Linked DNA regions of Daphnia pulex. The protein of the gene in region 2 interacts with the protein of the main gene of each other region in a pairwise test. Links are inferred from orthologs where the notes say so. Each region holds a gene or a part of one and is shown on either strand. Other genes may lie near its edges.

What was found. The genes of interacting proteins can lie anywhere in the genome.
Region 1: the proteins of breast carcinoma-amplified sequence 3 homolog (region 2) and PHAF1 protein CG7083-like interact in binary tests that used the Homo sapiens proteins (3 or more experiments, as listed by UniProt). The link is inferred for Daphnia pulex from reciprocal best matches to the Homo sapiens genes BCAS3 and PHAF1.

The regions. Positions count from the first base shown.
Region 1 is NC_060019.1:5,647,939-5,656,725, reverse strand, and holds PHAF1 protein CG7083-like, read left to right. Parts: upstream 1-3,623; 5' UTR 3,624-3,721; coding exon 3,722-3,785; intron 3,786-3,936; coding exon 3,937-4,019; intron 4,020-4,083; coding exon 4,084-4,211; intron 4,212-4,279; coding exon 4,280-4,656; intron 4,657-4,720; coding exon 4,721-4,836; intron 4,837-4,897; coding exon 4,898-4,993; intron 4,994-5,060; coding exon 5,061-5,143; intron 5,144-5,223; coding exon 5,224-5,317; intron 5,318-5,383; coding exon 5,384-5,530; intron 5,531-5,598; coding exon 5,599-5,669; intron 5,670-5,745; coding exon 5,746-5,770; 3' UTR 5,771-5,846; downstream 5,847-8,787. Other genes in the region: phosphoenolpyruvate carboxykinase, cytosolic [GTP]-like, read right to left, coding at 1-41, 129-237, 360-499; programmed cell death protein 6-like, read right to left, coding at 7,139-7,240, 7,319-7,434, 7,501-7,653, 7,744-7,850, 7,923-8,002. UniProt on the Homo sapiens protein: Plays a regulatory role in autophagic activity. In complex with BCAS3, associates with the autophagosome formation site during both non-selective and selective autophagy.
Region 2 is NC_060019.1:8,234,537-8,241,482, reverse strand, and holds the end of breast carcinoma-amplified sequence 3 homolog, read left to right. Parts: coding exon 1-1,660; intron 1,661-1,725; coding exon 1,726-1,817; intron 1,818-1,881; coding exon 1,882-2,012; intron 2,013-2,079; coding exon 2,080-2,262; intron 2,263-2,324; coding exon 2,325-2,764; 3' UTR 2,765-3,598; downstream 3,599-6,946. Other genes in the region: UNC93-like protein MFSD11, read right to left, coding at 4,647-4,838, 4,912-4,964, 5,031-5,113, 5,174-5,342, 5,411-5,533, 5,598-5,763, 5,833-5,971, 6,033-6,117 and 2 more. UniProt on the Homo sapiens protein: Plays a role in angiogenesis. Participates in the regulation of cell polarity and directional endothelial cell migration by mediating both the activation and recruitment of CDC42 and the reorganization of the actin cytoskeleton at the cell leading edge.

The DNA of each region.
Region 1 (8,787 bases), about 2.6 Mb from region 2:
GGTTGGCAGAGTTTGACGCAATCCTCCACAAAACTGCGAACCTATAAATAAATGTGTTTAAAGAAGTTAACAATTCAGGACTATTCTAATAATCAGACACATTTTATTTTTTAGAATGATATTTTTACTTTGCTTGGTAGAGACTTCGCTTCCGCAGTTTCAAGGATGCTCAGCGAACGATTGAACGTTGCCGATGGAAGACGACATCCTTTGGTTTGGGACGTCACGAAATTCGAACTGCGAACCAAAAAAAGAAATTAATTTTCCAATTAGGGAGAGGGTGGACCTGAATAGGTAAGCCAAGAAACAGGCCAGAACAAGAGCATGACATCCATCGGAAAAATTGGAGTCAATCTTACCAAGGAGCATAATTTGGTGTAAGAGACATTTTTTTTTGTTTTAAATCACTGCTTTTAGTGCTATTTGTTGTTGCACTTTTTGCTACCGCTGAAATATTTGCGAACGTTTTGGATAGTAGACAGTCTCTGTCTTCTGTCATACTATGTGTGAGCGCTTTTATACTCTAGACCTCACCTACAGCTTTCCAGCGAAAGCACGAGAGAGGCGAGCCCCTTTCTACGATTGGTCGGCAACTCACGCGGAGATAACCTTGGGAGATCACAAACAACCAGAAAATAATAGTTGTTTACGTTCCCAATTGAATTAGGCCGTCACAAATGAAATGACGTACGAAAATGCGAATGAGTTTGTCACTCTCTTCCGGAGACTCCGGTAAGCTAATCATTTGATTCCGTTGACTGAATCTATTTTTCATTGTAAATTAAACCTGCATTATTCAATTAGCAATTTGTATTATTCTCCCAAAAAAATCGTGCAGCATTGCTCTCGTCATTGACACACACTATTAAATGTATACAGACGCATTGATACGAAATGGGTTCAGGTTAAGCCAATAAGTGGAGCATTCAACTTCCACATATTTCGTAGTCGACCCGTGCAGACAGAGCCGATACAAACAACACAGAAAAACACTTCGATTGCGAAATTGTTGAACAAAACAAGAAACAGCAGTCTAAACATGATTTCAAGTAGTAAGTCTAAAGCAAGTAAACACGTCAACAACACGTGAACGTGAACGTAAATCGCGTCACGTCCCATCACTAGAAAATAGAAAAACAAAATCCAAAAGTTTATGCAAGTAGAATTTGCAAGTGATGTGTGGTATGACAATATGCAGACTAAAGGTTTCCTGGAAGTCCGTCCAATCGTCATGCATGTCTACAATGTGTTGTTCTTTTTTTTTTTTTGTGTTTTCTAGTTAAAGTTTTTGCAGGTAAAATAAGGAACAAAAAAAAATCGTTCGACCTGTTTGCCTTGTAATTCCTCCCCCCCCCCCCCACACACACACACACAAAAAAAATGTAGTTTAATTAAGTACGAGAGACAATTTTCGTGACTTTCACCTACGACTATAAAAAGTGTTTTCCCGTATTTGAGTCCAAATGCGCTTTAATGGATTAACCGGACAAGCTTGAAGATTGCTGTGGAAAATTTTCATTTATGGAATCATTAGACGTAAGATTCGCTGGCTTTCTCATCTACAATTTTGATCTCGTGAAGAAAGCAAAACATGCTATGATCACGCTGTGTTATGTAAGTCGAAAAATGATGCGGCGATTCTGATGCTCACCCGACCCCCCCCCCCCCTCCATCCACTTAAAAAAAAAACTCGAACACCCAAAAGCAGCTGAACCCTAGGACCTTCCCTCAATTCTACTTATGGCCGGTATCCGTCTCTTGTTGACTTCAAAACAAAGACGTAAACAACCAGTGGAGAAAAACAAATTTCGCAACGATGAAGGTCTACCAAGGAGAGCCGATAGCGACTACGTGACCGCGGTAAACATTTTTTAAACATACGTACTATGAATATCAATGAAACAGGGAGAGCCGAAAAAAGCAACGTTCGATACAAAATGAGTAGCACATCTTTACAAGGTTTCTCGTTGTGTGGGGGGTTTTTGTTTTTCAATCAAGCAACAGGTCCTTCCAGTTCAAATTTAGCGCTAAATGTTTTGGTACAGTAAAGGAATCGGCTACGGCAGATTTGATACAACATTTCTTATTTCCCAAGAATTATGCCCTTTTGAACAGAAAAGTTTGATCGAAGAATCAAGAATTGTAAGGATTCTGTTGGGAAAGAGAACGCTTAAGGCACTGATCGCAGTAATTCCTTGCCTTGGATTGTTGTTCGTGAGCCAAGGACATCAGGGAAGGAAAAAACAGCAGACAGCTGTGACGTAATGAATGGTCACCATATGCAGCCATAGCTACAGTAATACAGTATGCTACTGAAGTCGATAACGCATGGTATCACTTATCAAATCGACCAAACTGTAGACCGAAACCAACAAGAAATGGAGCAAGTACCGAGGTTTAAATTATTCAGCCTTTCTCAATATAACGGAATAATTGGCCTTCATTACTAGCCCGTAGACTCATTTTTTTTTCAAGGGCTCCGCAACTAAAATTGTATTCAAAATAAAAGAAAAACAATATTTCCACTTGAGCTGATAAGGAGAAGATAAGGGGAAGAAAAAAGGGGGAAGAGTTGAGTGTGAAAAGCCGTTTCCTGGATTCTTCAGTCCCTCGCCTTTGAATTTGGCCTGTAAGAAAAAAAGAAAGCCTAGCCTACCCCAAAATTAAAAAAAAAAAAAAAATTTTGCTTAAAATAAGGAAATAGTACTGTACATTTCAATTGCTAACCCCTTGATTTTTTTAAAAGCCAAAAAAATTCTGACAAAAATAAAAGAATAAATTCATATGAAAAAAAAAATCCCCTTTAAGGACAGTATAATCTAATTCATTTCTCTGTCAGTTTGTCTATTTCAGTTGCAATGGTGCATGGTTTCTTAGCCACTTTTGGTCTACGTGACAAATTTATAGTTGCCGTGGGGCGTGGGCGGGGAAAAAATCTTTTTCCTTAAGGTTAAACAAAAATTCCCTTCTTTTACGAAAGATCGGCAAATTATAGCACAACAAGTAAACATATGAACGGGAAAATATCTTTACTGCAGGATAATTTGGCATTAAATATTAATACAAGTTAGCTACAAGATTACAAGACGATGAAAAAATTAACAAATTCAAACGACAGCTAGCTACCATAAAAAACGAAACGAAGAATAGCAGCTCAATCGAAGCCAAAAATATAATATCAAACTTCCGCAACCAGAAACCTCAAAAAGAAATTATGCCGAATAATTGCAGTAGATAATATTTGTAGGTTTCACAGAAGTATTCAAGGTAGAATCGAAATCTTACCGTTTAATTAATGCTAACAGCAACCTCGACATTCCAGCTTTTGAAGAGTATTGATTAACAAAAGAAATGATCTACAAAATTAGTAGCAAATTACTAGTAAACGTGACTGAGATACAACAACGTGATTCTAATGGACAACAGCTACCACAAAAACCGCCGAACTACTTAATTAAACTCTGAAAGTCTGAATATTAGAATGGACATTGGATTTTGGATTGTCGATCGATTGTATAGCCTTCAAGGCTTTCAACAGCTGTTTGGGAACGGAATTTGACATATTTACATTGGTTGCCTTTTTCTCCACTAGATGACGGCTGTTCCACAACAAAGAAAAACCAAAACATTATTATTGTTTTCAGCGTTTTCAGTCCTCAGTGTTGGGTTCGACTGAACGGAAATTACGTTTCAACAATATTGCAAAGTTCTTAATCTTAAGATGCTTGATTTAGAAGTAATCCCTGAGAGATCGTTGGGTTGCGAACATTGGGAGTTTATATTAGGTAAGGTTTAGAGGAAAAAATTCTCTGAGATTAGTAATCGTTTTTGGTTCTTGAATTGCAAAATATTCGTTATGCCATTGAGTGTACACAAGCATACGGAATCGCACAGTATACTTATATTGGTTTGTGTACTTTTCAATCTTCATTATAGGAATGCAGTTTTCTCAAGCAGTTTGCATCTGCATGTCTCAGGTAGCAGTTATGAAGAGAGTCCAAGTAATATATAATGAGAATGTAAGTAAAATCTTTTAGCATACACACACAAACTTCGTGAACATACATGTTATTTGCTGTATAGGACCCTTTGGCTTCTGACCTTATTTTAAGTCTTACTTTGGATGGAATTCGCCTTTTATTTGATTCAGTTTCACAGCGCCTAAAAGTGATTGAGATTTTTGCCATGAATCTCATCAAACTGAAATACTGGTAATAGTAAAAATATTTTAAAATTTAGACAAGATTAGGAGAAATAATCATGCCCTATTTTGATATAGTGGCCTGGTTTTCAATTCAACTGATGTTATCCCAACCATAGATCAAATAGATCATTCTTTTGGAGCTACACACCCTGGAATATATGATCCTGAGAAAAGAATCTTTACTCTAAATTTCCGTGGCCTATCTTTTACCTTTCCAGTTGAACAGGCTAGCGAACCGAGATACGTTCGAGGACTTGGATCGCTTCAATTCACCAACGGCGCGTCTCCTATAGCAACAAAGATGTTCATTTTCAGTGGAAACAGCTTGGTTGACAGCAAACCACCTTCGCTACCGATATCCTGCTTTTTTTCTCATCCTTATCTGCAATGGCTCGAAGTTATTCGTCATAATGGATGTACATCTGGTATCAAGCTCTCCATTATTTGTGAAGGTTCGGCTCAAACATTGATAAATTTAGAAACTAACTTTCAAATCAATGTAATTTTGCGTTTTAGGTCCATCTCAAGTATTGGAACCTAGACGACATGCCTGTGTCCAGGAATTATTTTTTGGAGCTTCTGCCGAAGATGTGCTTACGCTGTTGGGAGCTCCATCTCGCGTGTTTTATAAAGTAAAATGTGCAAATATATGTACATGCACTTTATAAATTTAATTCTTATCGTCGATGGTAGGACGAAGACAAAATGAGGATTCACAGTCCACAGGCGCATCGTCGAGCTCCAGCTTCTTTTTCGGATTATTTTTACAACTACTTCACTCTTGGATTAGTATACTTAAAATTATTCTAGATTTCATTTTTAAAAGTTTCATTACAAATTTCCCGTTTTAAAAAAGGATGCTTTATTCGATGGGAAATATCACAAGTTGAAGAAGTTCGTACTGCATACGAATTATCCAGGACATTACAATTTCAATATGTAAGTGAAACATTTTGCAGTGAATGCGTGGGAGCTGGTCAATGCTTAATTATTTTTTTTTAAAATTCTCTCTCAATTAGGTATCACCGATGTGAGTTTAAGCTCCAGTTGCCGACCAAGGCCACTTCCGTCGATAATTCGAGATTGGTCGATTTATCGCCGACATTTATCACTGTTGGTTTTCAATTCACATATATGTTCTTGCGTGAAACCAATGTCATAAATTATTTACGAATGTAGGTATCTGCTTATTCACGTTGGGATGAAGTTTGCGAGAAAGTGCAGCCTAGTTCACGTCCGATTGTTTTACATCGATCGTCATCGACGAATACAACAAACCCCTTCGGTTCTACGTTCTGCTACGGGGTTGAGGATATTATTTTCGAGGTGAATAACGATTTTTAGATTCCTAAAATACTGAAAGCTTTTAATGAATTTCTCTTTTTGAATGTAAGGTGATGCCAAATAACCTTATAGCATCTGTAACGCTTTACGCATCCGATGATATCTCGCATGAATTACAATCGTAAAAGGATATTAGTCCTATAATTGGAAAATTTTATTACCAATATAATATAAACAGGATTTTTGTATTTGCCCAGGAAACAGACTGACGCCATGAATTGATCTTAAGTGCGCATCTCTTTCGTGATTGTATGTTGTTTGAACGCAAAATAATGTAATAAAACACACTAAACATTAAGCACCAATTACTTTTCCAATGTTAATGTCTTATTCAAACATTCATATAGCTAGTTTGGAGTTTGGACTAGCCTATAAGACAATCAGTTATTGTGATGGCTGTGCGTTATGAGTTCAGGAGTAAAAAAAAAGAAGTTTGAATTGATTGTTCTGATAAAAGAGTAAATTGTAACAGTGTATATTGAAATATGTGTAGCACCCTTGTAAAATTTCGAAACATAGGGTAAAAGGTCTTTGCATGCCTCCATTTTTCACGATAACTCAGAAGTCAGAACGTTTGATTTATCGCATCATCAATCTAAAAAAATAAAATAAAATAAAATAACTTATATCATGAAACTAAATGCGTCTGGTTATTCTAGAATACCACGATGATGAATAAAGAATTAACGGTACAGAAAATAAAGGTCCAAGATAGGCTACATGTATAAACGAAATAACGTGCGCTCAATAAAAATGAAGTTGTTGAATAACAATACGACTGCTAAATATTTACTATTAACACAAATGCTATAATTAATAAACTGTTCTGTAATGTTGCCAACTATCCTATACATTCATCGCGGAAATATTTTCTACAATTTGGTGACGTAGGCTAATAAGTATGGGTTATGTCGATTTGAGGACAAACCTGACTACAATGACAATAAATTACTCGTACCCTCGTAAACTTCCCGTTTACGCCCAAAAAAGAATCTGAACATATAAAGTTGCAGAAGTGAATGATAAGCTAAATAATCACTCACTTTTACTAACATCAATTTTTGTTCATGGTTAAATTCTATTTCCGTATTCTATTTTCTGGATTGTCAGGGAAAAAATATTGGAAACATGTTAAAAAAGTCGAATAGAATAGGGCAGGCACACTTTACCTCTACGACAATGCGCTGGCATAACAGACCTTCTAAAATGACTCATTTTATCTTGATTATATCGCTTTATCTTTACACGACAGATACGAAATAGATGCCCTATTGCTGTAGTTTGTTTACAGTGCGTTGTGTGCTATTACGAAAAGTTCCGTTGCTGTGTACGATTGATGCTGATCCTTGAGCAACAATATTATCAAGCAATCAGATCGCACACAAGGTGTTATACTGATTCACACAGTAGTTATATCACAGTAAAATAACATTTCATATGCAAGTTTATTCAAAAGGGAGAAGAGTTCAATCAACTGCCAGGAAAAATCAAGATATTGGCTGTTACAGAATCTCTATATGAGCAAAGAAACATACACAAACAGCAATAAGGAAGTGGTAAATTTAGTAGCTTAGGTATATTAGCTGAAACTTATACGCGGGTGTTGAGGACCATTTGAAGAAAATGTTCATATCCGATAGTAATGACACCGTCTTGATCGGTATCGAATTGACGAAACGCTGAAGTCAAGTTCTGTCATTGAAAACAATATAGATATATGAAAAAATGATACTTTCATTTAAATCATAGATATGTAAAAATCTTTCTTACATGTAAAACGATGCAACACTGAATGAAATCATCAAAATATATCGTTCCTTTTCCCATACGATCGAATTTTCGAAGCAACATATGATGAGTTCCGTCTTGCAAACGATAGCCGAAACCTATATTAACACAAAAGAACACTTAGTATATTTAAAAATTGTCAGCCAACTTTAATGACAAACTACTTGTAAGTGCTGTTCTTAGTTCATTGCCATCAATGTTCCCCGAATTATCTCTGTCAAAACTTCTAAAGCAAGTTTGCCAATCAGTGACATACTTCCAGATTGCTCCAAAATCTTCAAAGGAAATAGTTCCTCTTTGTTGACGATCAAACATACCTGTAGTAGTGCACAATTCAAAACGGAACATTAGTACAAAGGGATACAAAATTATCATTAATGCCTCTCATACAGCTGTCAAACACATACCAATCATAAGTCTAACAGTTTCCGAGTTAAATGGAGCCCATGTTCCATTGGATAGAGCTGATTGCAGCTCTTCGGCAGTTATTGCTCCACTTCTATCTTTGTCAACTCTAAAAATTTCAATAAATATATTTTAGTTGTAATTTTCTCCCTGAATTTAACCCACAACAAAATTGTTTAACCTTTGAAACACCTGCCAAAGAAAATCACGATTTGGAGCAGCTGGAACCGCACCCGGCCCTTGATAGTGCTGATAAGCCATTGTGTAGACTAAACGCGACTAAACGTTTATAAATAGAATTCACTCAAGTACAATACGTTTTTTAAACTGCCCGATACCAAAGGGTGTTATTAATAAGTAAAGGGATTTTTTTGTAGTGGCCAACAGTCAACTTAATTCACTGAGTTGCACTGAATCAACTTGATGTCTCAATCATTGATGACTCAACACTCAACAGTCAATCCAAGTCCAAAGTCGAAACCCATGAGCCATGACTGCTGTAAAATAAAGACAGGAGTCTTGGACGATAATCGACGATCCGTATGTTTAGGGCTGTGGCCCGGGACGTTTTTAGCGGGTTTTTTTTCAATGGGTTTTTTAGATGGGTTTTTCTTCTTCCGCGGGTCGGAGCGGGTTGGGCCAACTGAGTGAACGGGTTTGGCCCGGGCCAACCCATGGGTCAAAAAATTTTTACCGGTCGGGTAACGGCCCGGGTAAAAAATCGGGTCAAACACACTTTTTTTTTTACAAACTTAAAAAAATTCCCTAAATTTCTTAATTATCTTCTTCTTCTAACAGTGACACGTCAATTCTGTCTTCTGAACACCCCTGAACGCCCTTTTCTACCACTTATCCTACTTTTCATGCTACGAAATTATCGTAGAGCATTTGGCGGCAATATTTTGAGGCCGCAGGCATAGAGAATAACGAGCTTCTCTATGTGACTACTAGATGGCGCCACCGCTCGGGTTGGCCCGCGGTACCGGGAGTTCAACCCGTCGCCCGCCCCGTTAAAAAAAATGCCTCGATGGGTCGAGTCGGGTTGG
Region 2 (6,946 bases):
GTTTCGCCTACTGCCCAATCCAGTCTCGAACATATCGGAAGATCTCTTCGCGGCCAAACGTCCGATTGTAGCTATGAATGAAAGCACTGGCCCTGCTGCCCAACTCCATACGGTGGCATTCTTTTCGCTACGAACGGGAGAACAAGTCAAAACTATTCGCTTCAAGAACCCCGTGGCGGATATACTAGCCAATCGACGTGCCGTGGTTGTAACCTTCCCCGAGAAGGTGGCCGTCTTCAGCAGTACTACATTCGAGGATCAAGTAGTACTGACTCATTGCTACCCACCTAGTTCCAGCCCTTACTCAAACCCAGTCGCCTTGGGTTCACGTTGGCTGGCCTATGCGGAAAAGCGACTCATTAATATTCACCGATGCGGAGGCGGTTTCGAGGGTGAAGGGATTCAGTCTTACACAGCCACCGTCATCCACGCTGCCAAGAGCTTGACCAAAGGACTCCGAGAATTTGGCGAAACATTTCTGACTGGTCAAAGAAACATTTCTTCGTCGGCATCGCCATCGTCCCAACAGGGCCCTCAGCCCGGTGTAGTGACTGTCATCGACCTGGAAGGTTTGGCACGCGGAGAAGTCAATCTTCGGGAGGACGTTGACGGCGTGGTAGCGCACTTTGTTGCTCACGCCAATCAGGCCATCAGTTACCTGGCGTTTGACCCTTCAGGGACCCTACTATTCACAGCCGACAAGCAGGGACACAACTTTCACATATTTCGCTTGCATCCAGCGCCTTGTAGTACGAAGCAAAGTGCCGTCCACCATTTGTACACCCTCTATCGTGGCGACACTACGGCTCGAGTACAAGACGTGGCCTTTGCCACCGACTCGCGTTGGGTGGCCGTAACGACGATGCGTGGCACGACGCATGTTTTCCCAATCAGTCCATACGGTGGTTCTGTGGGCGTGAGAACACACACATCTCAACGAGTAGTAAACCGCCTCAGTCGATTCCATCGTAGTGCAGGTTTGGACGACACGCCTTCATCGGGTCGCAGTAGCCCCGTACTCTCCGGTTCACCTAATAATAGTCGCCCGTTGGAATCGACGACTCTCTTGCCCTATCCCAATCCACGACTGCCACCTTATCCTCATCCAACAGTTGTTGTCCCACTCGTACAACTGCGATCGTCTTTCATGGGTGGAGCTACTGGAAATCGAGGCATTCCCGCCTCTCCTGGGCTTTCCAATTCTCGCAAGTTCTCCGATTTGGACGACGGGACGGGAGTCGTCCGGGTCACCTGCTGTTTCGCTCCTCCACGGGGAGCTGCACCACTCGCAGGTCACGTTTTAAATGTAGGCGGAGGTTCAGCCGCCCATCGTGACCGTCTTCAGCGACGTACTGCTGAATCACTCTATGTGATGTCGTGCCATGGCGCCCTGGTGGAGTATGGCTTCGAACCTCGGCTGGCGACTGGGATACCGCGCGAAAAGATTTGCGACAAGAGCTCCATAGAGCTGGACATTGTGCCGCTGGCCCAGTGGCCTATACATCGACCGCTCTACAATGCCGCAGATCTACCACCTCCTTTAGCATCACACATCCTTTCCCTAATCACCAACGGACCTGAATCGGACGATAAAACCGAATCTCCTTCAACTAGCGCCCCATTGTCTGGCAAAGAGATGCAAGAAACCTGGCTAGCACATGTAAGTTTGATTTTTCTTATTGAATTTTTACCTTACCATTTCCTTTAACCGCATTGAATCGTTAGGTTGAAATCAACACGCATGCTGGGCCGCACAGAAGACTTTGGATGGGACCTCAGTTTACATTTAAGACTCTTAAACGTGACAGCACATCCAGGTATTATACGTACAATTTTTCAATTTGTGACAACATCAATAATTTGGGTTATTTTTTCAAACAGTCTTGCTGAAATAGAGGCCTCTGAAGTAGATATTTTGACACGTCCAGCTCGTTCTAACCCAGTAAATATGCCAGACAAGAATGAAATGCCAATTCAAGGACTACCTGTGATTACTGGCGAAGGATCAGCTAGTAAATAACATTTGAACTTGATGTAATAACACAACGATATTCTATAATACTTATTTGCGTTTTACAGGTAGTTACGAACAGTCTCCGAGGTTCTTGACTGGTTGTGGGCGGGAACGCTATGGCACGCGTCGTTGTGATTCCGAGAGTTCTATTTCCGATATGGTCCCCAAAGTCGAAATGGAACTGCAATTGAAAGAAAATTTAGCCGACGCAATGCAAGAAATGCCTTTAGTAGGATCGAATGTTCCTGGTACGTCTTTTCTTTCCCTATACATATTAAAATTGATAGAATTAAAAGTTTGCCTTGTTCAGAAGAAGATGATGGCAGTGAACGTCGAACACACTATTTCATGGATGATGAACGTCTCAACTGGCCTCAAACATCAGTTTCCTCGTCGAACCCACCGGCATCGCTCAACATTGACGAGGATCTTCTGGATTTTGAGCTAGAAAGCGAGACGTGCTTGCGATCACCATCCATGCCCTCAAAATTCGCCATTGACTCTCTTAACCGCAATTCATCGGCGGTCAAGGACAACCAGGATTGCGGTGACAAAGATTACAGTTTCTTTGCCAGCGATGAAGTTGTCAGTGGCTCAGTGCCAGTTGATGTGGCCTTCTTTCCCGATGCGACAAGAAGCGCCGGTGAAAGTAGTTCTAATGAAGAGGACGTTGTGACTGTTCCCTCTTTTGACCAGGATGGTTCTGGTCCTGGCCGTAAAAGTAAGAAAAATCGCAAAAAGAAGAAGTGAGTTGGGGCTTTGGTTTGGGTCAGTTGTTGTACTCCTTTTTCGGGTTTCTCTATGCGTGGTTTACCAATTAGGGTTTTCTTTTTTGTCCCCTGTAACTTGGTGGTTCTTTTAAATGTGAGATATAGCATGACAGAATGCATGGAAATAATTTTCCTTTTAATTCTGATCGTTGTTACACGGCTTTTTTTCTATTTTTCTCTTGAATATATTATTCAGCCATGCATCAAACGTTAATTCGTATGATATATCATACGCACTCGGGAAAAAGACATAAAAAAGAACACAATTTTTAGTCTACATTTTGAAATTTTCTTTTGAATTTAAAAAATGCTGTGTTTTCAAGTGATGCATAGATGTGAGCTCTTGGTGCGATGTCTACGTTTCAGTTAACCACAAAAGGCGATCCCCGCCTAATTTCTAACTAACCTTCTAATAATAATCATGTTCTTTCCTATTAGAATAGACTTTAATTGCACCAATCTCTCGGTAGATCTCAATCGTCTTACCGCATTCGCGTGCTTTGATAAGAAAACGGAACTTAGGTAAATAACCTATTAACCCTCAAAAAGCCTCAATAGGAAAAAACTTGCTGACTTGACTTCAAACTGTTAACTCGCTTGATTGTCCGAGCGTGATATATCATTCATCGATTCCCATCGCTCGTCTTCAACCTATTTTTTCACATGCTGTTATAATTAACAAATCATCAAAAAATATAAATAGTCCATTCATAAGTTTATAACATACTGACCACACACCACAACAAAATTTCAGTGATGTCACGTTGATGTGTATCGTCGAACGAACGTCAATACAAATTCATTTCCTGCTCAAGGAATGGTAACTTATTATTTATTATTACAATTTGCATTTCTAATTTTCTTGTAGATCAACCCGATCGATTTCGGAAAATTCGTGTCCACCACATTTAAAAGGAAAGCTGACGAATAAAATTATTTCAAAAAATATACTCTGAAGCTCTACTACTAAAATCAGCTTGTCGAAAAAAAAATGTCTATAGGATATAGCGGCACCTATTTACTTCTAAGATAGCGCAGCAGCAAGGAAGCATTCCGATTGATTACTGAAAGGAGAAAGAAGGAAGCTCAAGTGGATACTTTTTTTAGAAATGCTTTCTTGCATGGCCTTTCCTATTTTGAGTCTACATGCAAACACAAATAACCTTAGGAAAACTGTGCTTAAGATGTAGTGTAGCAAACTATATTACATATGGATCCAAAACCACATTTGCTCTCTAATGATTGGAATTCAGTCAGCATTCCATCATTAACCAGAACAAAATGACAAGACACCCTAAGCCTACAAACTGTATGTCTTACAAATGGTTTGAATTATGATGCATCACCTGAGCCTACCTGATTCAAAGTCAGTCTGCATTTAGATTCGTGCGTTGAAGGCTGATTGTTCAGTGTTGTCGCAGGTAAAATCTTGTTACTGAACTTTTACTGAACAAATAAAAATTTTCTAATTTACGGTATTCCTAATTCCATTGCAATAAGAGCCGATATGACTGATGTAGCAGTAGGTATGATGCACTAGGACGTGGTGTGATGAAAGCACTGTGCACAGCACAGCACAATATTTCAATGTTTGCAAAATTCCGCCGTTGACAAATTTTCCGTGAAAATTATTCAGTTTTTGCTGTCTCCAATTATTTTTCACCTAAACATTTTATCACGTTTCCTCACGACTATTTTATGAATAAACTAAGAAAGAATGACATGAATACAATAGCACAAAAGTTTGAGTTAATAATTAAATGGATGATCAAGTTATTTTACAAAAATATTTCGTCTATATAGTTACCCTCGCCCGTTTTGTAATAGAATGTATGCCCAGAACATAAATAATGAATTCCAAATCAATCAAAATCCTTATCCATTGCGGAGTCGGGATTACTCGTCTCTATCAGGTGAGCTCGTTTGTAAACACTTCGCCATTCGACAAGCCAGAAACAGACCGTTCCAGCTAGTAGAAGAATTCCAATGATTATTAACTGTGGGTGGATTCCAATGTATGGACTGTAGAAGAAGCTTGCGGCAGATGCCATAGACTAATGCGAAAAAAATTAAAACGTTAGATTTTAAATTCTACAGAGATAAAATAAAATAACGGGTTCTAATTACCGAAACAAACTTAAAGAGAGCAAAAGCTGGTGCGCTGTCGTTCGGATAAATACCTAATAGCAAAAAACAGATGAGTATAAATTCACATCCTTTTTTTTATCCAATATTTTTGTACTTACCACCAAGAATACTATAGACTTGCGTATTAAAGCAAGCATCACCAAAGGCTACCAAAAAACTGCTGAAAATAGCTACAAATGGACTGCATAGAAAAATAAAATATATCTTTATCAATAAAGTTCGTACAAGCTATATTTCATACCTGCTTGTAATGAAACCAGTATCAGTGGTATCCCCAAATGGAGCGTTATTTGGAATGTTGAGGAAGATGAGGAAAAAGCCGAGGGCCTGAGTTAAAAATCCAGTCAGAATAATGGGATCACGACCGTATCGAACAGTTTTCGAGCCTAGAATTCCAAATAGAGCTCCACCTTAAAAAGAAAACCAAAAGTCATTAAAACATAAATAAACGGACAGTCATTTCTATGTATAACCTTACCTGCGATTTCACCAACGCCAATAAAAATACCGGATAAACCCACCAACCGTTTGCTGTCTTCAAACTCCAGCGTGAATCCAATACTGGGGCTGTAGACGCCGCTTAAAAAGGAATATTCGATACCTAAGAAATTGAAATTTAAAAAACATGTTTCTGAATGGAAAGGTAAAAGGTTCAATCGAATTACCAATATAAAAGAATGCTACAGAGAGTAGACCCATGTCCTTCGTAAAGAAGAGTTTGATAGATCTTAAAAATGCATCCAATGGGCCTTGGGGTGCTTGCGCTCCTCGAGTGGAAACAACTCCATCTTCGGATTTAGGAGTATTTCGGGAAGCGTCAGAATCTTTCACCTAAACAAAAAACGGAAATATAAAATGCTGCGATTGCAGGATTTAGTGCATCTACTTTTTTTTTATTACCGCAGGCAAAATGACAAGCATGACAAGACCCAGGAATCCAACAACTAGTAAAACGCCGTACAAAATTGTGCGCGTGTGCTGGTCAATTTGTTCTCTTCCTTGAAACAAAAAGAAGACAAACAAGTTGCCAAAAAGAAAACTGCATGGAAAATGATAAAACGTTAATACTGTTTTAATATTTAAAATGTTTTAGAACCCACCTGCATTGGAATACGGCCCAAAACACGCCAGAATTTCTTGAAATGTTGCTCCCATCGGAATTTAGAGTTAAATAGTTTCCTTGACCTTTGGAAAAATTAATTTTAGCCAGATTTAGATTTACATCATTTAGTGAATTGAATTAACCGCAAAATAATCATTAATTGGCAACCACAATACCTGTCCATATAAGAGCCGCTCCGAATCCGAGGAGAGCTGAACAGGTATACAACGCCCAACTCTGCTGAAGAAAGAAACTGCCAATGTAAAGCCTAGATAAAGAAAAACAACAAATTATTTTTCTGGTTTTGTTTTTATCTTTACGTCGTATTTTCTTACGAGTAAAAGAAACCTCCAACAATCATCGACCACTTTGGTCCAATGACGGAGATAATCGATGGAGAGATCCAGTTGGATATGGAAAGCACAGCGTAGATGATGGCAAGACTAGTGAAACCATCCGCAATGAAACTAGGATCCTCTTGAGTTATGCTCTTGATTACCGTTTGCTGTCATTAAAAAAGAACAAACATTTTAAATGGGTCGACAACATCGTCACATTTTTCTGAGGAATCGATAAACTCTTATCGTGTCGGGAGGTCATTTATTCATCTGCCGCCGCCACCGTCTCTATCGCATTTCATTTGCTCTACTGATCTACGTCTATTCTTTTCATAACAACTCTTTTTGCGCTTTTCTCCTTTGACCTCAAGTCATAAACCAGTCAATTTTGCGATAAAAATGGAATGATGACGTCTAGCGTCTTGAATTTGAATAAACAAAGTTTCTAAATCTAGGCTAAATCCTTCTTTAACATCTTTTAAAACTGGTTTGCATAGAACTGAACTAATTGCAGACAACTTTCACTTTTCTTTAGGCTTTGCTCCAAGATATCAATGCTGTGCATTTTAAGTGG